Linked DNA regions of Drosophila melanogaster. The protein of the gene in region 1 purifies or fractionates together with the protein of each later gene. This does not show direct contact. Each region holds a gene or a part of one and is shown in the gene's direction. Other genes may lie near its edges.

Region 1 (7,523 bases):
AAATTCTTGTTTTACATTGCCTTAACGTTATTATTATTTGAAAATAGATTAGAAAAAGCCAAATCTATGTACATATTATCACAAAAATCAATTTCAAAAATGACTTTATATAAGAATATTTGTCATTAGAGTATTCATCTTGCGGCGTGTGAAAAATTAATAAGGCAATGATTGTTGAGTGCTTGTGTCCGCATTTCGTGCCTCAAGATATGAACAAAGCAAAGACACTAGAATAATTCTAGTGTCTTTGATATTACTTTTGCAATAAACAGTTATCATATTTAATTATTTAGTATATTTATTAAATCATTTGACCTAATATGATGTAACATTAACATTAAAAGTGTTTCAAAAAAATTATTTCGCTTTTAAAAAATTGTCAGATGAGAGACAAATTAGAATTAAACATAAATATAAATGTGTAAACGGTAGATAATTCGAGCGGCGATTTTAACAAACAAATTTAAACAGCTTTAAAATTATAATAAGAAGGGCGCGTGAGCGAGCGGAAAGAGAGCAATTTTGGCCGTCACCAAAAAAGTGGCTGCATAGTGCCAAACCAATGTATGGCCGTTACGCATCTTGTTATTCTAGTGTCTTTGGTAGTACCAAGTTCTATATTGCTGTCAATGAGTAACGGCACCTCAAACATCATTTATTTGGTAAAGCAAAGACAAATGTTGGTGTTAAACAAATGTATGTTGCCGATTTCGGACAACCAATAGAGGGAATTCCACCTAAAGGCTGACGAAACTTTTATTTCTTTTTCACACAGTAAACTTATCGCGTAAACGACTTCACTGAATCAGCGTTTAGGGACAACTGAGGCACGATGATTTTGGATTTCTGTTGAGCTTTGCCACGCTTTAGAGAGCTTGACTTCCCGCAAACAAAATAAACAATTATTTTGTATCTATGGAATACAGGTTTAGAATTTAAAAGCACAATTGTAAGAGGATGCATTGACAGCAACTTTCTTAAACTAGCCAGCGTCAATAAGACGTTAGTCACACTGAAAGGTAGTTTCCAAACACGTTTTGAATATTGACTATCACGAGAATAATACCTAAATTGGTTTGCACTACGAATCAACAAACAAGTTTGCCTTTTTAAAAGGTACTGCAAATACAGTGACATTACTCCGTATTTTATTAATAATTGGTTTGCTTTTAACTATGCTCCCGAAATGCCGCAAACCTATGAGAATCAGCAAAAAGCAATTTAGTTTTAATAAGCATAATATCCGTTGGCCCTGCATTATTATTTAATTCCAGCTTTTGTTTTATGGCTCGAGCTGCCTTTAACTGCGGCATTACGATTTTTATGTCGATTGGAAGATGGCGCATTAGCGGCATAAAACGGGCCGTGAGCATTAGGCCCAAATCCTTTAAGCACCCAGAACAGCACACACACGCCCGCACAAGGTCACAAAATGCTTTTAGGCGCGACTTCGTTTTATTATTTACTAGGAAGCAGACAGAAGTCCTGCAGGGAGGGGGAAGCTGGGGATCCACCCACTTCAGTGTCGCCTCCTTGGGAGCAGCGTGCTGCCCCAAGAAAAGCGTTTAATGGGCCTTTAATCGCATTCGCGTAAATATTCCCGCAACTTTGTAACACGCCTTGGGAATTCAGTGACACCAGCGTCTTGATTTTGTGTCAGTTTTATTGAGTTTACGCTTGAATTGATTTCTGGGCCTAGTCACAGGATTCAGTTTAATTAAAGGTGAGATGCAAAGGCCAAAAGGCAGCAAGCAAATCGTCTAGCAAATCATCAACAACTTGTCAATAAACTGATGTTTTCTTTTCCTGTTTACGCCCAGGCTCACATTTCAATTAAGAGGACAAACACTCTAGGAGTCGAATAAAAAAGTGTCCTGGAAGGAGGCTACAACTGCGCATTCAGAAGAAAACTTTGAGCTGCAAGCTAAATGTCTGAACATGTGTATTTTTCATGAAATTGCTTGCCAGCTCTTTGCCCCTTGGAAAATAAGCTCGAAACAAAGAATTCATTTGCATTAATTGTTATAGCGATAACGGGTACATTTATAGAGCCCCAACTGATATTGTCCCCTCTTTTCAGCATTACCAACAAATTTTTGCGGCATTAGGCATTAGACCAAACATTTCGTCGACTCTTTATCACCGATTTCTGTTACGGTGGTCATGTTGACAGAATTTCTTGATAACGAATACGATTGGGCAACTTGAGTCACCGGAATAATAAAAATGTTCTATCTATTCTATCTTCTATCTATTGTTATTTCCGAGGTTAATAATAGAAAAAGACAGGAGGCTATCAGATACTATCAGATTGCGATATGCAAGCCCTAATTTCATAAAATATGTACATACATATTTAGTCCGGCGTACATATAAACTCCTGTGATTCTGATCTAACATATATGAGTCTCAAAGGGTTTCCTTCTATATTTTACTTTCAAACTTTTACTTTTAAACTTTTCAACGAATCTAGTATGCTCTTCACTTTACCTCTTAAAGAATAAGTTATATCATCACAATGTACAATAGTACACTTAAACTAAACAATGTATATAGTATTTGTTTACAACCTTATCTTCTAGTACCGTCTAGTTCACCATGGGAAAAAGCTTTGTCGACTCAAAAGCTGAGCAAATGTTTATATGTATATTGTACATATGTTTGATTGTTTGCTTGATTGCCGATTAAGCTCCCGAGATCTATGAAGAAAATTCGTTAGAACCTAACAATAAGCTTTCAAGAAAATACTTCGCGTACCAGTGTGCTGGATAGCTTAATCCAAAGAAGTATCTTGATCGCCATGCGGCTCACTCTCGCATTATTCAGTTTGGTCCCAATGTTGGCTTATATAGATTCTATTACAACACCTACACATATTGGGCCAGAACGGGGAGTGTCCCATGAGCGTCCTCTACCGCTGATTGCAAACATCAAGGGAATCGGCACATAGTGGATCCCGAATCCCAAAGCCGAGTTCAGAAGAAAGGGCCGCATTTACAGTTACCAACTCCAAGTTGGCTAAAAAGTTAAAAATGAAGATTCTTCGCGATGATTTGACCGACTTCTTCTTGTCGGTGGTTAAACCGGCATTAAGCGGAATGACTTTATGGACCAGTCCTCCGAGCGGAGGACGAAGTAGCAGGCAAGGAGGGTCAAAGTTTGATCTCTCCCACAACTGGACCCTGGAGCAAATGGCTGCCCAGGCCATCGTGTTCTTCTTGGCTGGATTCGAGACCTCCTCCAGTACGATGAGCTCTTGTAAGTACGAACTAGCCCTCCAGCCGGAGATCTAGAATCAAATAAGGGATGAAATAGAAAGGGTTCTGGAAGGAAATGCGATTACTTACGACGCCTTAGCTAAAATTAACTATCCAGAACAGGTCTTGTCTGGTAAGCATGGAAAATTTGATAGCGCAACTTAACTTTTAGAAACTCTTCGAAAACATCCAATTAATTAAATTTTTGCTCGAAACACAAGAAAGCTTTAGGGTCCGCAATACTGAGCTCATCGTTGAGAAGGGAACTTCATTACTGATACCTGTGCACAGTGTTCACTACGATCCGCACTTATATCCACATCCAAAACTCTTCGATTCCAGCCGCCTCAAGGCTTATAAGTCCAACTCCCGCCATCCATTTGCATATCTGCCCTTCGGAACATTTGGACCCCGCAGTTGCATAGGTCTGCGTTTTGGCAAAATGCAGGCCAAGATTGGCATTGTGTCAGCGCTTCAAGTTCGGTGATTCAGACCTAACAGACATCCCCTTAGCTTCGGACACTCGCAGCGCCATAGTGGAACGCATATAGACTCGGAATTTTACTAACTTTGGAAAGTTTAGAATGTACTTGTAAAACTTGTAAATAATCTAATAACGCTTAGCCAGTGAAGTTTTTTAAATTTTCAAATAATAATTGATCTGAAAACTGAACATTAGCAACGCTCTATATATTTTGTTTACAAATCATTTGATTCTCATTTAAAATGACGCAAGATATGTTTATGTATGTTTAGATAACTGCAGTTCTTTGCATATAAGACCGATAGAGAAAGAGAGTCCCCGAAAAGAGAGCGAAGCGAAAGCTTTTCAGACGGCAAATCAAATGTACCCCACTTTTCCACTCAGTTGTTATTCTATCGAGCAGTAGGTACCATGCTGACGCTCCTGGTACTCGTGTTCACCGTCGGACTTCTGCTATATGTCAAGCTACGCTGGCATTACAGCTACTGGAGCAGAAGGGGCGTCGCCGGAGAAAGACCCGTGTACTTCCGCGGCAATATGAGTGGGCTGGGAAGGGACCTTCACTGGACGGATATCAACCTGCGGATCTACCGGAAGTTTCGGGGAGTGGAGCGCTACTGCGGCTACTTCACTTTTATGACCAAGTCGCTGTTTATCATGGATCTGGAACTGATCCGCGATATAATGATCAGGGACTTTTCCAGCTTCGCCGATCGAGGACTCTTCCATAATGTGCGGGACGATCCACTGACCGGGAACCTTCTCTTCCTGGACGGACCGGAGTGGCGCTGGTTGCGCCAGAATTTGACGCAGGTGTTCACCTCCGGCAAGATGAAATTCATGTTCCCCAACATGGTGGAGGTGGGCGAGAAGCTAACGCAGGCGTGTCGCCTCCAGGTCGGCGAGATAGAGGCAAAGGATCTGTGTGCCAGGTTCACCACGGATGTGATCGGCAGCTGTGCCTTCGGCCTCGAGTGTAATAGTCTCCAGGATCCGGAGTCGCAGTTCCGGCGAATGGGCCGATCAGTGACCCAGGAGCCCCTGCATTCGGTGCTCGTCCAGGCCTTTATGTTTGCCCAGCCGGAGTTGGCTAGGAAGCTGCGCTTCAGGCTTTTTCGCCCGGAGGTCAGTGAGTTCTTCTTGGACACGGTACGCCAGACATTGGACTACAGGCGACGGGAGAATATTCATCGCAACGACCTGATCCAACTACTAATGGAATTGGGTGAGGAGGGAGTAAAAGACGCCCTCTCCTTCGAGCAGATTGCGGCCCAGGCATTGGTTTTCTTTTTGGCCGGGTTCGACACCTCCTCCACCACCATGTCCTTCTGCCTGTATGAGCTGGCCCTCAACCCCGATGTCCAAGAAAGGCTACGGGTTGAGGTACTCGCCGTTTTGAAACGCAACAACCAAAAGCTCACGTACGACTCCGTTCAGGAGATGCCCTACCTGGACCAAGTGGTTGCCGAGACGCTTCGCAAGTATCCTATACTGCCTCACTTACTGAGGCGTTCCACCAAGGAGTACCAGATACCGAATAGCAACCTAATCCTGGAGCCGGGATCTAAGATAATAATACCTGTGCATAGTATTCATCACGACCCAGAGCTTTATCCCGATCCAGAAAAGTTTGATCCCAGTCGCTTTGAGCCAGAAGAGATTAAGGCTAGGCATCCTTTCGCCTATTTGCCTTTTGGCGAGGGTCCTCGAAATTGCATAGGCGAGCGTTTTGGTAAACTGCAAGTGAAGGTGGGTCTTGTATACCTTCTAAGGGATTTTAAGTTCAGCAGGTCGGAGAAAACACAGATCCCGCTGAAGTTTTCCAGTCGTAATTTCCTGATATCCACCCAGGAGGGAGTTCATTTGAGGATGGAAGGACTTGAAAGACCATAATAGTTGTTATCTGAAAATGTGTATAATCCTGACAGCGCGAAATATGTATAGGAAAACTCTTATCTACAAAAGACTGCGTTCCAAGATTGCATTAATCCCTACATTATACAAATAAACACAAAGAAACTGTCTAGTATCAAAAAGCTTTTTTTACAATTGAATAATGATAGATAAATAAATAAAAAAGAATTCAATTTTAGAGAGGGAGAGAAACGACTTAAAAATATGTTTTGACTGGAAATTTGAATTCTTAAAAGAAGGTGTCTTTGAATTTAAATATTAACCAATCCGAATTTTAGATGTATGTACATACATATAAAATAAAAGCTTTTAAAAGCCAGTCTTGTATATACTCTCTGTCAGAATACTGTGCTCAAAAGCTTTATAATAATAAAATTTAATTTAGAAATCTTTAATAACAAGGATAGTTTAAAATCTAATTTAGGTTGTCCTAACGTTTGGCAAGCCAAATTATAATAAGATAAGATACATTACAGAACAAAAATATTTCTAAATATTTAGGGAAAACTTTATGTTATGTTTCAAAATAAATAAATAAAGTAATTCAGTTTTCACATGGGAAAAACTTACTCCACATTTACTTAAATTGTGAAATGAAAATTTTATTATCAAATCATAAGTTAAGCATTTATTACAGACATATTATTACATTATTACAGTTCCATAGCATTTCTTAAGCGACAATAAAGCTAATTGCTATAGCACTCAAGTTGGTGGATGACATGGACAAACCCATGGACTCAGCTTTACTCACACTTAAAAGCTGACTAATATAGCGTCTGGAAAAGTTTGTTATCAGTCAGTTTCTTACCAACTCAGTAAATGCGCATCTTTTCAAACCTGTTATTATCAAAATGAAATCGGATGATACAGGCTCCTGCCTGTAGTTGCGTAGCTCTTAAAATACTGATTCATTGGACATCTACTCGTGCAGAAACATCCAATTTCTTAAAAACTATCATAACAAATTACTTGCTTTGCCTACAAAGCCCTTAAAAAGCTTTTTTACTCCGAGCGGAAAGATTGGTACCGCGAATGTGCAAATTCACCTTTTGGGAAATAGGATTTAAAACTTTTTACTTACAACATAACACCAAAAAGACAATTGCAAATATGTGTTTATATAGTAATTTAGTTAACCAAAAACCTCAAAAGAAAGTATGGTTTTCCCTTAAGAAATTTACATGCCTCGTACTAAATAATCCTAAATAACTGCATTGTAGTTTTTAATCACTGTGAACGTAGTGACGAAGCGCAATGCATTAACGCATTAACATTAAATGCTAAATAAAAAATAATAATCGACCCAAGAAAAACATGTGCCAGGCGTTTTTCGTAAAAACTAATTTTATTAATAATACATACAATTCAGCTTAGTGGTACTAAGAATGCCTGCACGCAAGCTGTCATTTGGGTTGCATTCAACATTCAGGGGAGTTAAGTTAATAAGTTAATTGCTTTCATTTGATTCTGACGACAATGGTATCCAATCTCAATGATGATCACAACGACAACGTCCGCGCGGTCCAAGTACATCTGGCTGGGATTAGGGTTCGGGATTGGAGGAATGGGGGATTGGGGTATCTATAGTACACAAGCATGTCTTAATCTGCTAATCGTAATCTAAATCAGCGCTCCCCACTAGCACGACTCCTTGTTGCAGTCGACGAAGTTGCTGAACTCGGTGGCATTGGGCGGGCCCTCACTGTACAGGTAGGTCACGGGCCACAGACGCGCGGCGGCGAAGTCACTGAGGCTCTGCAGTCCGCCGGGTCGAGGTGGGTGCTGGCTGTATTCGCTGCTGGCCGCCGTCGCCGGCTGGGAGTGATGTGGATGTGGATGTTTCTGTTTCTCCTTGGCACTGGGCA
Region 2 (7,666 bases), on another chromosome or scaffold:
ATTTGCTCATAATAATTAAGGTGTTTATTTCAATTTGTTGGATGTTTTAATACTTTAAGCGTATGTATAACTACGCTTTTATCCACAAGTATAGTCACCTTAGCAATAATGCCTTTGTCATGCAAATTTCGAATCAATCGTTCCATCACGTGAGCTGCCTGTTGATTGCTGATTGCTGGCCAAAAATGAAACAAAAAGTGTATGCGACACTTGTGCGGAAATAGTGAGATCCACGTTTTAGCTAACAATGGCCCCCCGCAGAAGCAGAACCAGTTTTTTTTCGAATGTTTTTGTTTATTCTACAAGTTAAAGCTTAGCTTAGCAGATACGATGATACGATGATGATGTGTCAATGGCCGGAATGCCGGAATGCAACGCCCCATGTGAGTGAGAATAGCTTGGATAGGTGAGGAAATACTCGTACACTTAGCCTAAAGTCCTAGGGCGCCTGATGGCGACTAGGACGACTAGTGCTCAGTTCTCGAGGAATAAATCCTCGTAGGCGAAGCGCTTGAAGAGCTGCGAGAGAACGCTCTTCATGATCTCGGCGATGGCCACATGAATGGAGGGATGCAGCTCGTTCCACACCTCCGTCCAGTTGTCGTTGAGGAACTGATTCAGATTGGTGCCCAATGCCTGGTCGCCATTAAAGAGGTTCTCCAGCCGAATGTTCATCCTGTGGGAACACAAATATGTTAGTATATCTCAGCTAAAATCCGAACTGCACCTACTTTTGTGGCTCCACCAGAACCTTGAGCTTATCCACGCTCAGGTAGGTGCGTCCATTGCGCTGCTGTGTGCCCGGCTTGAATTTCACCGAAAACTTGGGATTGTGCAACACGATCTCGGCATCGCCATCGCCACGAATCGGCAGGATCAGGATGCGTCCATCCGCCACGTACTTGCCCTTCAGCACGATCTTGGGAAAGGATCCGTACATCTCAAACTTGCTGGTTGCAGGATCAGCGCCAAAGCCACTGAAAAATACGATTATGATGGATAAGTGCAATCAACTTAATATATCTTCTTCTGTTAATAAACATGAGAACTTCTTCACTTTTGCTTAAGAAGGAAATCACTTTTCATTTCACTTGCTACTTACACGGCTCTGTCGAACTTCACACTGGACAGGCCCTCCACATTCACGTCCCTGAAGTTGAGCTTTAGATTCAGGGAGCCAGTGCGTCCGTCGGAGATGTCGAAGCGCTTGATCAGGAAGGGCTCCACCTGGGGGAATCCAGCGGACGGATAGCCGGTCCTCGCGTGCTGTCTGATCAGCATGTGCGACACGTTGATGATGCAGCTGGTGTCGCCCATGTGGCAGCGCGGCAGTTCGGGAGCTGCAAGGATAAGCTGGCGATTAGCGAAGCACTGGGATTGTTGGCCAAAGGACTCACGGAAATTCGAGGCACCGCTAACCAAGCAGCAGAAGAGGGCCACGCAGCCCAGCTGGAGCAGCATCATTCTGGATATGGATCTAGTTACGTACGAAATTCAAGCGCCCCGAAATTCAACCGCTCGACGATTTGGCGAATGCCCGACCAGGTTCAATGGCAAACTGTAAATCGGCTCTGGACAGACGGCGGCATTTATAAAATTTCTGATCGGCCAGAACGATGGAGCGGCAACAAATGTGGCCAACAACAACCAGTACACTTCATAGTTTATTCATTCCTGACTTGTCGCGTCTTGGCCCTTGTTTTTCTTGTTGTTGCTGCTGCTGCTGTTGTTGTTGTCTGTCTGATTGCTGGCTATTTTTATTTATATTTTTTTTTTATTTATTCGTATGTGTATATCTCTTTCGCTTCGTGTTATGGATTCTCCTCATCATCATAGACATCGCAGTCTTTATCTTTATCGCAGCTACCCCTAACCAGAATTGGCAGCAGCATTATTATTAATTAATATTATTAGCATGCAGCAACAAATAACAATAAACAATAACAATGGCAACGCGCACAAAAGGCAGCGAAACTCAAAATTTTAATGCTCAATCCAGTCAGTTTTCAAGCAATTAACCAATATATTTCCACTTATCCTGCAATGCATTATATATATATATAATTTAATTATACATATATAATTTGCACTATATTTCGGCATCTTGTGTACTTTTTATAGATTCAAACTCCGTGAAATGGAATCCGCGCTTTGTTCACACTTTTAATAAAGTGCAAATATCAATTCGTACTTATTGGCTTATGATATTATTCATCCCATATTTGCTTTGAGATCAGCACTTGGAATTGGGAACCTACCTCTGGGGGAATTCCTAAGTGTGCTAAATGGCCAGGCAATCTGAAAGGGAATGATAATGAATAGGTCATGGTTAAGGATCCACGATAAAAATCACTTAAGTTATGAAATTGTATTCCGACCAGAAGGAAGAATGCATCCCAAGGCTCCCAACTATGAAATTTCCGTTTTGGACATATGTACGAAGATAAATCTTTTTGTGGCCAACACAACTCAATTCCGACATAAACCAATTAGACATAGTCGGGCATTTTGGACGACATCAAACAGGTTCCAACGGCATCGATAATCGATAATGGATGGATCGACGGATAAAAGTTGCTCGGCGAGGTGGCTTCACTTTCAAAACTATTGGACAGGCGACGTTCGGAACGGGCCGAGTGAATTTAATTTGGCAAATTCTAGTTAAAGGCTCCTGGCGTTCGTCATCAGCAATTAGCATATACTACATATATACATATGTATATGTATATTTGGTGTGTGATTGGCATGAAACCGGCATTCTGTTTATTTACCCATCCAATTGGCGCCAGGTGAGTCCAAATATTTCACTTTTGTCCACTTTGATGTGTTTGCGCAGCCAATTCCTAGACGCTGTCGTAGACATCGAGATTACAACGGATTTTCGGGGGCGAAATATGGTAATATATGCAAACACGCTTTTATTTTATTACGTCGGGCTTGCCTGCAAATAATTTGGCATTTCAATTTTGAGTTGGTTGATTCATCTGCGCGTAAACATGATTTCGTTTTTCTTTGTAAACTCAGTAAATACGTTTAGTTTATAACTAGTTTAGCTACGTTGTAACGAAGTGGAAAGCTTATGAATGGCGGTTACTTTTCAATTTTTAATGAATTCACGATGAGTTTGGGAATTTTTGGTGGCATTCTGGTTTGATGTGGTTTAATCGTTCTGAATGGCATTAACTTTTTCTGGTTCTTAAATATTAATTTCAAGTCTGGAAATTTCTAGCAATGCTTGTTTTTCACAACAAACTAAGGTTTAAAAATATTAATATTTGTGTTCGTTAGGGATAAAAATTAATTTGTTAGCGAAATAATGTTTGAAATCATTTAAAGTTTCCAACTATTCCGGACTAAGAGCAAAAATTAACCATAAAAATTTTTACTTAATTTTTGTATTACTTATTTATATAAGATTTGGCTTGGAATGTCCAACAGCACAATCTAATAAATATAAAGAAAGATTATAAAGCATACATATAGTTTACACTTTTTCAATACTTTAATATATTCTATTGTTTATAACGAATTTATTGATTACAAATATTTTCAAATTTGAAATTGAATTGTAACCGCCTTTGACTGGTTCCGAATCGACTGGCTCTCCACGGAACATATCGCCACATGCGGTATAATCAATGCAGCTCCCTACGGTCATACTATTAACCACATCCACATCAGAAGTCTGAAATCTGATTTAAAAACTCTCACGAAACTTACTTAAAACCAGGTGAAATAAAGACTGAATACATTCTGGAGGCAAGACAAGCTGAAGCAGTATGAGTGGCAAGCAGGTAGTCATCCTTCTGGGCAGTGTCCTGATCCTGGGATGCTTACAAGTGGCAGCGGCAACGGAAACGGATAACAAAACCAACGATTTCGTGGCCACCGACGAATGGCAGACGATTGCGGAAGGTTAATGGCTAGCCAGGCTAACTCTCGGATGACGTGTACTAAGTGAGCACTCTATATTTCCAGGTCAAGCTATTCCAAGGGGCCTGCACGTGCGCATCAACCTACAAACGGGGCTCAAGGAAGCCAAACTCTTAGACGAAAGCGAACGTGGCACGTCGCTGCAGAGTCAACCGGATGATCAGAATGCTCGGGAATCTCACGATGACAACGAACCCCTGGCTCTGGACTATAAACCGGACATAATCGAGGAGTCTATACGGCGGGTCAAGGAGCAGAAGAAGAGCTATGCCGAGCTACGCAAAGCGTACAAAGAGTTCCAGAAGAACTTTCGCACCGACGGAGAACTGATCGTCCAGTTAATCGATCAGTTTCGGAACTTCAGCAGAACGCCGCTAGAGTCAGAGATGCGCTCCAAGCTGGACTGCCTGGAAAATCTGGAGTATTTGCTCCATCAGATAGACAATGCCTTGATGTTCATTGATAATGGGGGATTGGATGATGTACTACTGCCCATTGTTGTGAACGATACCAGTACATCCCTGAGAGTGTCGGCCATGCGTGTGTTGGGCTCGCTGGCGAGCAACAATCCCAAGGCCCAGATCAAGGTGTTCGAAAAGAATTTCGGGTCTCATCTGGCTCAGATTCTGACCAGTTCCGGAAATGTCGGTGAGATCTCCGCTGCATTGCACGCCTTTGGAGCCTTGTTGCGGAAATTTCCGCTAGCCCAGCAGCGAGTGCTTTCCACCTCGGGTACACAGGCTCTGATCAAGGTGCTCCAGAGTCCGGATGTGGAGCTGCGGAGCAAGGCGAAGGTAGTGACTCTCATAAGCGACCTAGTGCTGGAGAAGCGGTCAGTGCTGGATGTCAGCAAAGATGATCCCGAAGCCTCATCCACAATGGCGCAATATGTGCTCTTGGACTTCGAGTCGTGGCTGAAAACGCCGGGCTACTGCGCGGCGGTGGACACTGTGCTAACCAAGGAGTTCCTGCTCCTCCTAGAGCAACCGGAGGTGGTGGAACAGTTTGCCACCGCATTGGAGACCACCGAAGATATGTGCACCAGCACGTGGTCGCAAAGTTCCGGTCTCAGGCATGCACTATTAACCGTTCGCAATCGGTATGCCAACAGCACGGACGAGTACCGACTGGAGGTGTCCCAGATTTTGGCCAAACTGTGCGAGAGATTGTTCAACAAGCCCAAGCACACCGAACTGTAATCCTAGCCAATTTACTATGTTATTTATGTTAATTTCATTTAATTGTAAGCTGAGTTGGAATGAAATTCGCAGCCAAACCATAGAATACGATAGCTAAGATGCCAAGTACTTGTGATGCAAAAATAATGCTCTTTGTCATTAACTTAGGATAGCAATCAATCATGCCAAACATCTACAGGATTTTCGTTATCAAATATAGTCTCTTACTTAAGATTATTTTAAGTGTGATTTTTTTTTAATAGGCAGACGATTCACCAACGAGCACATCAAAATAATTATGTTGTTACACGTCATTAAACTAGCAAAAATTTGTATGCTACAGAATTGTTCTCCAAACAGATTATGAATCCTTAAAGCCTTAAGTTCTTGTTTATTGTAGCTACAATAATAAAGCAATGACCTAATGTTTAATTTAGAAATTCTTTCTTAAATCAGTTGACTTCTTTTCAGTGGCATATTCTTAAAATGTAGTGCTAAATTATGAAAGGAAATGTATTTTCAATCAAGAAATCGCATTAGGAGATTGGATATTCCACCCCTATAGAACTACAGACCCATTTAAAGCCCGATAAGGCGAGCATAATCGACCGGGCCATAAAGTAAGTCAAAAGTGTCGGAAGGAAAGCAAAAACGCCGAGGAAAGCATGTCCCAAAAAACCACTTGAAGTTTGAATGTGAGCCAAACGAAGCCACAAGAACAGGGAAAACCTGGCACGGAACTGTACAGGAGGAGAAAGGACATCGGAGCAGGAGAGTGCAATTATGTGCCGGCAAAGTTGGAAGTTGGAGTCGAAGTCCAGCGCGGGAATTACAGCAATTAGCGGCAGTCACATGCAAATGCAATGTCACTGGGGCTGAGTCACGACGGTGGATGGTCGGATAGGTGGAGTGGTAAAGGTGAAGCAGCGCCTGGAAGGGAGCCGGCTAGGACGCCGCCTTGGTTCCCATGGCTACTCCATGCAATGTAAACAGAGAAAAGGGGTTGCAAAGCCGGCTCAGTGGAGCACAACGCAGAGAGGCAGGAGAGGATTCCTGAACTGGAATTCACTCATCAATTCCAATTCCAGCTGGGGCGCGTGCGCAGTGGCGGCGAGCTGTTGTTGTTGTCATGGCACTGCCCCACCGCCGCTACGCTTCCCCCTGCCTCTTGCCGCTTTCCAGCCGAAACGCTTACGCTTGACGAGTGATGTGGAAACATTTTCGACACAAGCGAAAGAGAGGCTTCCACCGTTTAGCCACAGCAGCGGTCAAAATGGTAGGAGCTTGACTGGGAAAGCCTGGTATCCCATCAAGAATTGCAGTTGGACTTATAATATTTTCAATTAGATCAAGTTCGCTTTTTTTGAAATTCTGGGATGTGGTTTCACTTTGTATACAATAATTCAAAAGTTTTTTTTTTAAGATTCTTTGCGACTGTTTTAAAAGCTAAAAGTGAACAAAAATTTCAATTTATGCATCATTTACAATTGTCTACGATAACAAAATAATTTCAAAATTTCAAAAATGGTTTCCCATTTTGAAGGTTTCTTCTGGAGATTCCTTCTGAAAGCGTATGAAAGATCACTATTTTTGTGACCGCGACTGTCGCATGTGTGCATGCATGTTGATAGTGAGCGCACACCGGCTTCACAGGCTGTTGCTGCTTTTATTGCCGTCGGTTGTTAGGGGGCGCGACTTTGGCTACATTATGGAAGGAAAATCAGTTTGTGTTTGGATCGCGAGGCGAGGAGCTCGTTCAGCGCTGCGGAGTACTAACTGAAAGCGTTTCGGCCAACATTGTTCTTTGTCCGTTGCAATCGCGGTCAAAACAATGAAATAACTAACATTTAGTGCACCTGGAAGATAAAGCACGAAAGGATTAAGTGCGTGTTTGTAAAACATAAAGTACAGTGAAGCATATATGTAGTTCAAAGTATAAAAATCAGCATATACTAAGCTGCTCAGTTGGTGATTCCTTTTTATAATATCAGTTTTTTATTAAATGAAGTACTTTCCTTTTCATCTTATTTTATCAGCCCTACTTGCTGTCATTACCGGAATCCATAAATTGTCACCAATTAAATCTCCCATATGCCGTAAATCAGTTAACAGTTTATCCGAATGAAAAACCCCTGGGGAAAACAAGTTCACAGTCTGCGCCACAGGCGAATATCGGAAAATGTAACCGTTTTTACACAGGTGAATGACTTTTTTGTGCGCTTCCGCGGGCTTCCGGTCAAAAAAGCGTTTTCATTTTCGCCATCGGCCAACGGCCAGCTATGCGATTTGTATGCAAATGTTTGTCTGTCCCCCAAACCTCCGGATTCAGCCATCAAACGATGCAGCACGCCTCCCACTCCCCACGCTTTCCTCCCTCATCCTCAAAACACCCGCCCACCTGCTGTGGTATGCCATAAATCCTGTCCAGGAGGAGGAAGCTCCTTTGGCCCGTGTAAACGGGCGTTTCGAATTCTTCCACTCGCTCGAAAATACCGGAACCAAGGAAACAAAAACAAAAACATTGCCACCGTCTTCAGTGGCTGCTGTTGTCTATA
Region 3 (7,652 bases), on another chromosome or scaffold:
TGAGCATTGAGCCTGGCGGGAATAAGGGTTCCTAGCCGAACTCAATGTTCCCCAACTGCTAGCAGCCGCAGGAGGAGGCGTCCTCCTCGTTGGTCGCCGCGCCGCTGCTCGCAGTGTCCACCTGGAAGCTCTTGTGCTCCAGTGCCTGCAGTTCCATTTTGGAGCGATTGGCGTGGACCAGTTGCCTAGAGATGTCACGGAACATCTCCTCCACACCGGCGCCGCTGCGACAGGAGGTCTTGTACGTGGCACTGATCAGTGAGTGGCACTGCTCGCAGAAGGCCTCCACTTCCTCATCGCTGACCTCCGGCTCCCTGCCATCCAGATCGCTCTTATTGCCACAGATGAAGATCTTGGCATTCTCTGCATAGGTCACAATGTCCAGCAAGTGCTGCGACAGCGAGTGGAACGAAGCGGCGTTGTCCAAAGCAAAGACCAGGATGGCTCCCTCGGCGAACTTGTAGTACGAGGATGTGACCGAGGCCACACGCTCCATGCCACCGGTGTCCCAGAGTTGGAGCTGTCAAAGAAGACGGTATATACATAAGTGTCTCACAACGCAATAAGTTGTAAGTCTGAAGAACTGTGGCTTTCGTCTAGAAATCGAACTAAAGAGCTTAAGGATTCATATCTCAGCCATCACGCCCTTTTAGAGGTTCCCGAGCCCACCTTGATCTGCTTTTCATTCACACTGTATTCCCTATCGATGTGGTCCAGTCCCAACGTGGATTTCCTGTCCGTATCCGTGATGAAGGTGTTGGTGGCGAAGCGCCGGAACAGGGAGCTCTTGCCCACTCCGTAGTCGCCGCACAGGATCACCTTTTGTTTGGGTATGCGCATCGTGGCCATGGCTGTGATCGCTCGATTAATCCCAAGTTAATCCAATTAATATATTATTTTGCACCTGCAGACACAAAGGCGACAACAACAGTGCGACAACAGCTGTTTGTGCAAAAACAGCCAACATCGCAGAGTTGCCAGCCATTTGAACGCTATCGATAACCGATAATTCGAGTTATTCGAATTCAAATGGTCTTATCAGTTGAGATCTGCATTTGGTTTTAGTTTAGGCAAAACAATTCCACCCATTATAATAATAATATACAATATTGTAAAATTGTTTATGAAAAAGGGATTATTTATGGAGGAAGTTATCGTTTCAACATTAGTTGTACCTAAATATACGTACATAAACAGATATTCAACTTCTTTTTAAAAGGGAATATACAAATTCAAAAATGATTATCATCCCTCTTCTGAATGATTGAAAGAACCAGATCGATAGAAGTTATCATTTTTGAAAAACTATTATCTGATGTCAAGTTCTGCTGATAGTGCTGTACCCGTTAAATAAGCCCGTGCGCTTGAGTATCACTTTCAGTTGAAAATGTCGATTCGGTTGGTAGCACTCCTGGCATTGTTCGCCGCCTTGGCGCATGGTAAGAATCGTAAATCGAGCGCTATCTCTGAAATGTGGTAATCTTTAAATGAACTAATGGCGCATCCTAGGCAAACCCGGATACGGTCCCGGAGAGCAGGACTGGGGCTACGTAGATGTGCGTCCCGGTGCCCACATGTTCTACTGGCTGTACTACACCACCGCCAATGTTTCGAGCTATACCGAAAGACCATTAGCCATTTGGCTCCAAGGAGGTCCCGGTGCCTCTTCGACGGGGTATGGAAACTTTGAAGAACTTGGGCCCGTCGATTTGTACGGAGATTGGCGCAGCTGGACCTGGGTGAAGGACATGAATGTCCTCTTTATTGACAACCCCGTAGGCAGTGGTTTTAGCTACGTGGACAACACGGCCTTTTACACGGCCACCAATAAGGAGATCGCTCTAGATTTGGTTGAGCTGATGAAGGGATTCTATACCCTGCATCCAGAGTTCGAGGAGGTGCCGCTGCATATATTCTGCGAGAGTTACGGTGGAAAGATGGCGCCGGAGTTTGCACTCGAACTGTACTACGCCAAGAAGCGTGGTGAGGTCAAGAGCAACCTTACCTCGGTGGCTTTGGGGGATCCATGGACCTCGCCCATCGACTCCGTGCTCGCATGGGGACCTTTTCTCAGAGAAATGGGAATCGTGGACCACGCGGGATACAATGCCATTCAAGAGGCAGCGAACTTCACGGCTCAGTTGGTGGAGGAGGAGCGATGGATTCAGGCCACCTATCAGTGGGGCAACACCCAGTGGGAGGTGATGAAAGCCTCCAAGGGTGTGGACTTCTACAACGTGCTGAAGGAGACAAAGGGTGGTCTCTACCAGAGATCAAAGGCCTTGACCTCCGAAGGTGAACCAAATACTTCGATACGATATTTTTCAAACCATGATATTTCCCTGCAGAACGTCTGTATCGCACCATGGTGAAATACGATATTGATGAGGATCGAACCAAGTTACTGGAGGATCTGATGCGGGGCCCGGTGGCGGAAACCCTGGGTATACCTTCGAATGTCATCTGGGGATCGCAGAGTGGGACCACTTTTGACATCCACAGAACGGACTTCATGAAGCCAGTCATCCACATTGGTAGGGATATTACTTCTTATATAACGAAAGCGTCTGACATCCATTGAATGACAGTGAACGAATTGCTGGAGAAGACTCCTCTGAAGGTCGGCGTATTCTCCGGTGGCCTGGATTTGATTTGCGCCACACCGGGCACCGTCAACTGGATAGCCAAGCTGGACTGGAGCCGAAAGGACGAGTACCTGGCTGCTCCACGCAATGGCATCACGGTGGATCGCATCTTGGAGGGCTATCAAAAGACGGGCGGTAACTTTACCATGTTCTGGATCAACCGAAGTGGTCACATGGCTCCGGCGGACAACCCTGCGGCTATGAGTCATGTACTTCGAGAGTTTACCTCATTTGGCTAAATTCATTTAAATTGAATTATAATAAACTCAGTATGCAAGCCAGTTGTATACTATATTCGTCTAAAAATAGAGGAGTGTTTTACTGAAAGTATATAATGTAAATCGTAATGGATTTTTTGCTTATAGAAGCTGGGGAAGTTATCCTATTAGTTATTTTGATAAATGTCAAATGTATGTCTTAATCTGCTCTTTAAAAAGCAATGCCCAGAATTGATGCATATATGATTATATGAACACCTAAAAATAATATAGTCAATCAATCAAAGAATGCTGATGATTTAAAAAGAGTTTTTGGGAGACACCTTAGATATCTTTCACGCATGTCACGTGGGATAAACCGCAAGTGATACCGAAAAATAATAGGAAAAGCCCTCGGAAAACCCACTCAAGATAGCAAAGTGCAATCTTTGCGATGATTTTGGAGCTTCATAGGCTCTATCTAAATATATGACACAAAGATTCGGCAAATCGGACGAGTGACAAGCACAGATTGACCAAAAAGCCGCGTCACCGTCCAGCGAAGGGCCATAAATACTCTGCAAACACAGTTCCCCTGCCCGCAGATTACGAATTCCAGGTGTGTCAGGTGCTGGCTGTTGCTATTTTACCTTCGATGTCTGGGAGCAACCAGCGATCAATTGGCAGTGGAACTGCCAAGTGTGCGGTTGTCTCTCGATCGGTGTCTCTTGGAATTGGAACTGAAACACTGGTGCAACATGGCTGGACGCGCTATCATCGCACTTTTGGCCCTACTGGGATTTGCCGGCTTGGCTTCCGTTGACGGTGAGAATCGTGATTTGTATTCCAATTAGGGGTGCTAATCAGTGAGAAAGTGTTCCAAAACAAACGGTTCTTTACGACTTGTAGAACAGGCCAACAGAATTATCTGTTACAGACTTTTTTACCTACTTTTATATCCGTAGATTGAAATACTTATGAATCGTTTGGGGACAGACCTTATTACCATTGTAAAAGATACAGTGACCAACCGCTATTCGGTTTGTTATAAGACAATACAATCAACTATCTACACTATCTATAACAATTAATCTTATCTAAATGGCTACTCGTGCAGCCGTTTAATATACTTAAAGGCTAGATTTCTCAAGTGTTCCCTAGAAATCAGGGGCTATCATGAAATTACAAAATCAAAGAGCTTTGTATATTAATAACTATTTAATCGAAATGAGCTATAATTCAATATACTCTCAGCACGCAAGGGCTATGGACCCGGTGATCAGGATTGGGGATTTGTGGATGTCAGGACTGGCGCCCACATGTTCTACTGGCTGTACTACACCACCGCCAATGTCTCCAGTTACACGGAGCGTCCGCTGGCCATTTGGCTCCAAGGAGGTCCAGGTGCCTCCTCAACGGGATACGGAAACTTTGAGGAGTTGGGTCCCCTGAAGCTCGACGGCAGCTACCGCGACTGGACTTGGGTGAAGGACATGAACGTGATGTTCATCGACAATCCCGTGGGCAGTGGTTTCAGCTACGTGGACGGATCTTCTTACTACACGACCAACAACAAGCAGATCGCCCTGGATCTCGTTGAGCTGATGAAGGGCTTCTACACAAACCACCCGGAATTCAAGACTGTGCCGCTGCACATCTTCTGCGAGAGTTATGGCGGAAAGATGGCCCCGGAGTTCGCTTTGGAGTTGGATTACGCCATCAAGCGCGGTGAGATCGAGAGCAACTTTGTTTCGGTGGCCTTGGGAGATCCCTGGACCTCACCCATAGACTCTGTGCTCTCGTGGGCTCCCTTCCTGCTGCAGTTGGGAATCGTGGATCAGGATGGCCATGACAAGATTGAAGCTTCGGCCCTGAAGACTAAGGACTATGTTGACCGCGAGAAGTGGACACAGGCCACTTTGCAGTGGAGCTCCACCCAGTCAGTGGTGCTGCGCGAGTCCAAGGGAGTGGACTTCTATAACGTGGAGACCCCAACATTGGGTGATCAGTACAGGTTGATGTCCAGAGCTGCCATGACTCCGGAGGGTAAGATCCGTTGCGTAACTTACCGAGCTGATTCTCATCAACCACTTATCCAGAGGTCATGTATCGCACCCTCGTGAAATTCGATGTGGATGAGGACCGCGACAAATTGCTGGAGGATCTAATGCTTGGACCCGTGACCGAGGCCCTCGGAATCAACACCGGAGTGAAATGGGGCGCCCAGAGCGGCACCACCTTCACCAAGCTGATGGGCGATTTCATGAAGCCAGCTGTGGATGTTGGTATGTTTCAACCGTCTGGGTGCTACCTCAAATTATAGCCTTATGACACTTTTAGTGGGTGAACTGCTGAACAACACCACCGTAAAAGTGGGCGTGTTCTCCGGAGGACTGGACCTGATTTGCGCCACTCCGGGAGCCGTCAACTGGATCGAAGCAATGGAATGGTCCGCCAAGCCATCTTACCAGGTCTCTCCGCGCGTGGGAATCACCGTAGATCGAGTTCTCGAGGGTTACGAGAAGACCTATGGCAACTTCAGCATGTTTTGGGTCAACCGGGCTGGTCACATGGTTCCTGCCGATAATCCCGCGGCCATGTCGCACATCCTGCGACACTTCACCAAATTCGGTTAAACAAATTAGCCGGAGAAAAGCGTTAAAATAAAGATTATTTTCGAAATGTATGGACTCGTGGGTTTCCAATTGGTGGTGGTTCGATTAATTTAAATTAAATATTGATTACAATTCGCAAAGACTTTATAGTTATATTTTACAGTGCAGTTAGTTGCAGATCTTGTGAAATCAATTCATTCTTAAACTGAAAACAAAATACATACATACATATGTATGTTCTCATTAATCTTACTCTACTTAAAAAGCGATCGCCTGCAGAGTTGCCACATGGCGAAAGTAACAGTAAAGTTGTCGCATGCGCAGTTGCACCCTCTCAGCTGGTCACACGCACACACACTCTCGCACACGCCGACTTCCCTTCCGTTCTAGTTGCCCACGTTGCGCATGCGAGAGCGAGAGAGGGAGCGAGCAGAGAATGAAAACTGCGCGAGATAACGCGGCAGCTATTTTTGTATGGGTCGTCGTCTAGTTCGCACGGACATCGGAAAATACGCAAGGTGCAGCGCACGGCCAGTTGGAAAATCACAATCAGAAGACAAATCGAGTGCCTAGGAAGAGAAAACGAAAGCGAATAGAGCCAAAGCGCATTGAAAGGCCAAAGAAAAGCGAGAAAAGCAGTGACGAAATGATTTGAATTCGCTTGACAGTCAACGCGCATAATCGTAGCCATCGCACACACACAGCCGCACGGACACACACACACAGGCGGGCGGGTGTGTGAGTGAGAGAGCAGAAAGGGTGCAAGGGGTGGGCGAAATTGAGTGGGCGCAGCAGCAGCAACAAAAACAAACAAGACGAAAACAAACGGCAATTGCCGTGTAAATTGCACGGAAAGCACAAACAATGCGGATACGCGAAAAACGCAAGTTGCAGAGGGAGCTGAGGGTGGAGAAGCGCGTGGAGAGGGAGAAAAAGGAGCACAAGGAGGCCTCCAAGACGCAGGACAACAACAACAAGGCGAAGGTAAGTGGCCACAGTCAAGCCTCGCAAAGTGTTTCCACCCCATTTCACTTCTCAAAGAACACGAGTGTAAATGACTTGATCTAGGCGTTTATTTGTATATAAGCTTGAATGAGTATGAGTATAAAAGCCCCATGTATTCCTTGAAACTTCGTCTTTCTTAACTGTTGCTTTTGTTAACATAACTAAATATGCAAAGACCTTCTGTTGTTTTGTCTACATTATTCATGTTCAGAGGGAGCACTGTATCTCTACATTCATGGTGGCATTACTTTGCACGATTTCAACTGTTACCATAAAACCCGGTAATAACAGCACTTTTTTTCCCTTCGTCGTTAGGCCACTGACACGGAGGTTCTCACACCAGCTCCTGCGCCTGCGCCTGCTCCACCAGCAGCACCCACTTCGACTGCATCACCCACACCCACTAGCACGCACACCCCCAGCCTGCCGGCCGCCGAGAAGGTGGCCTTCGACAATCGCATCAAGCGCAAGAATGTCCTGGCCCTCAACGAAAAGGTTGCTGCTCTGCGGGAATACGATCGGCTGCCGGTTTATAAGCACGTTGGCCGGCTGTTCAACTGCAGCCCAGATCAGATCAAGCGGATCGTGCAGCAGCGCGCTGAGATTCTGAACGCGTGGGATCAGCGAACCCGCAGGAGCCAGGACGCCAAGACCATGGAGACGAAGACCGTCAGGGTCTCGATGTTGGGCAAGGCCGTGTACGATTGGATACGCCGCATGATGTACTACAAGGACTTCAGCATCTCCGACGGACTCATCCAGAAGATGGCGCTGCAGTTCAAGAGCTCCATGAACCTGGCACATTTCTTTCCGCACCAGGAGTGGTGCGACAAGTTCAGACGCACCTACAGCATCCAACACAGCGACACCAGACTGTTGAAGATAGGCTACACGCAGGGCTACTCGGTGCAGATCAAGGACATCGTCAAGGACGTCATGTCGGAAAGCATGCCGGAAAGTGGGCCACGGAACGGCGAGGAGGATGACGAAGAGGTCAGCTTGGGCAGCCCGGTGAGCAGCCATCCCCGCAGCTATGTAGAAGACGAGGATGACGAGGTGGATGTCGACGGTGGCGGTATTAGCGGCGAGGATGATCTGGAGGAGGAGCCTGATGTCAAGCCCTCACTAAGCGAACTAAATTTTGCCAGGGCTCTGAAGCCCTTGCCGCCTCTAGTTAGACTGCCCCTCCA

Evidence for each region. The genes of interacting proteins can lie anywhere in the genome.
Region 2: the proteins of Cyp6a13 (region 1) and Sil1 purify together in Drosophila melanogaster (affinity purification with mass spectrometry, with the first as the bait; one large-scale study listed by BioGRID). This does not show direct contact.
Region 3: the proteins of Cyp6a13 (region 1) and hiro purify together in Drosophila melanogaster (affinity purification with mass spectrometry, with the first as the bait; one large-scale study listed by BioGRID). This does not show direct contact.

What each region holds. Positions count from the first base shown.
Region 1 is NT_033778.4:8,566,379-8,573,901, forward strand, and holds Cyp6a13 (cytochrome P450 6a13), read left to right. Parts: upstream 1-4,120; 5' UTR 4,121-4,152; coding exon 4,153-5,634; 3' UTR 5,635-5,769; downstream 5,770-7,523. Other genes in the region: CG42326 (uncharacterized protein), read right to left, coding at 7,297-7,523. UniProt on the Drosophila melanogaster protein: May be involved in the metabolism of insect hormones and in the breakdown of synthetic insecticides.
Region 2 is NT_033777.3:25,231,511-25,239,176, reverse strand, and holds Sil1 (Sil1 nucleotide exchange factor), read left to right. Parts: upstream 1-3,647; 5' UTR 3,648-3,779; coding exon 3,780-3,915; intron 3,916-3,978; coding exon 3,979-5,132; 3' UTR 5,133-5,541; downstream 5,542-7,666. Other genes in the region: Jhbp7 (juvenile hormone binding protein 7), read right to left, coding at 475-676, 732-977, 1,103-1,340, 1,398-1,464. UniProt on the Drosophila melanogaster protein: Required for protein translocation and folding in the endoplasmic reticulum (ER). Functions as a nucleotide exchange factor for an ER lumenal chaperone of HSP70 family.
Region 3 is NT_037436.4:683,817-691,468, reverse strand, and holds hiro (highroad), read left to right. Parts: upstream 1-3,510; 5' UTR 3,511-3,600; coding exon 3,601-3,667; intron 3,668-4,096; coding exon 4,097-4,888; intron 4,889-4,941; coding exon 4,942-5,127; intron 5,128-5,182; coding exon 5,183-5,478; 3' UTR 5,479-5,527; downstream 5,528-7,652. Other genes in the region: RabX6, read right to left, coding at 59-520, 670-849; CG32483 (uncharacterized protein), read left to right, coding at 1,388-1,439, 1,510-2,295, 2,349-2,534, 2,589-2,884; ebd1 (earthbound 1), read left to right, coding at 6,322-6,441, 6,778-7,652.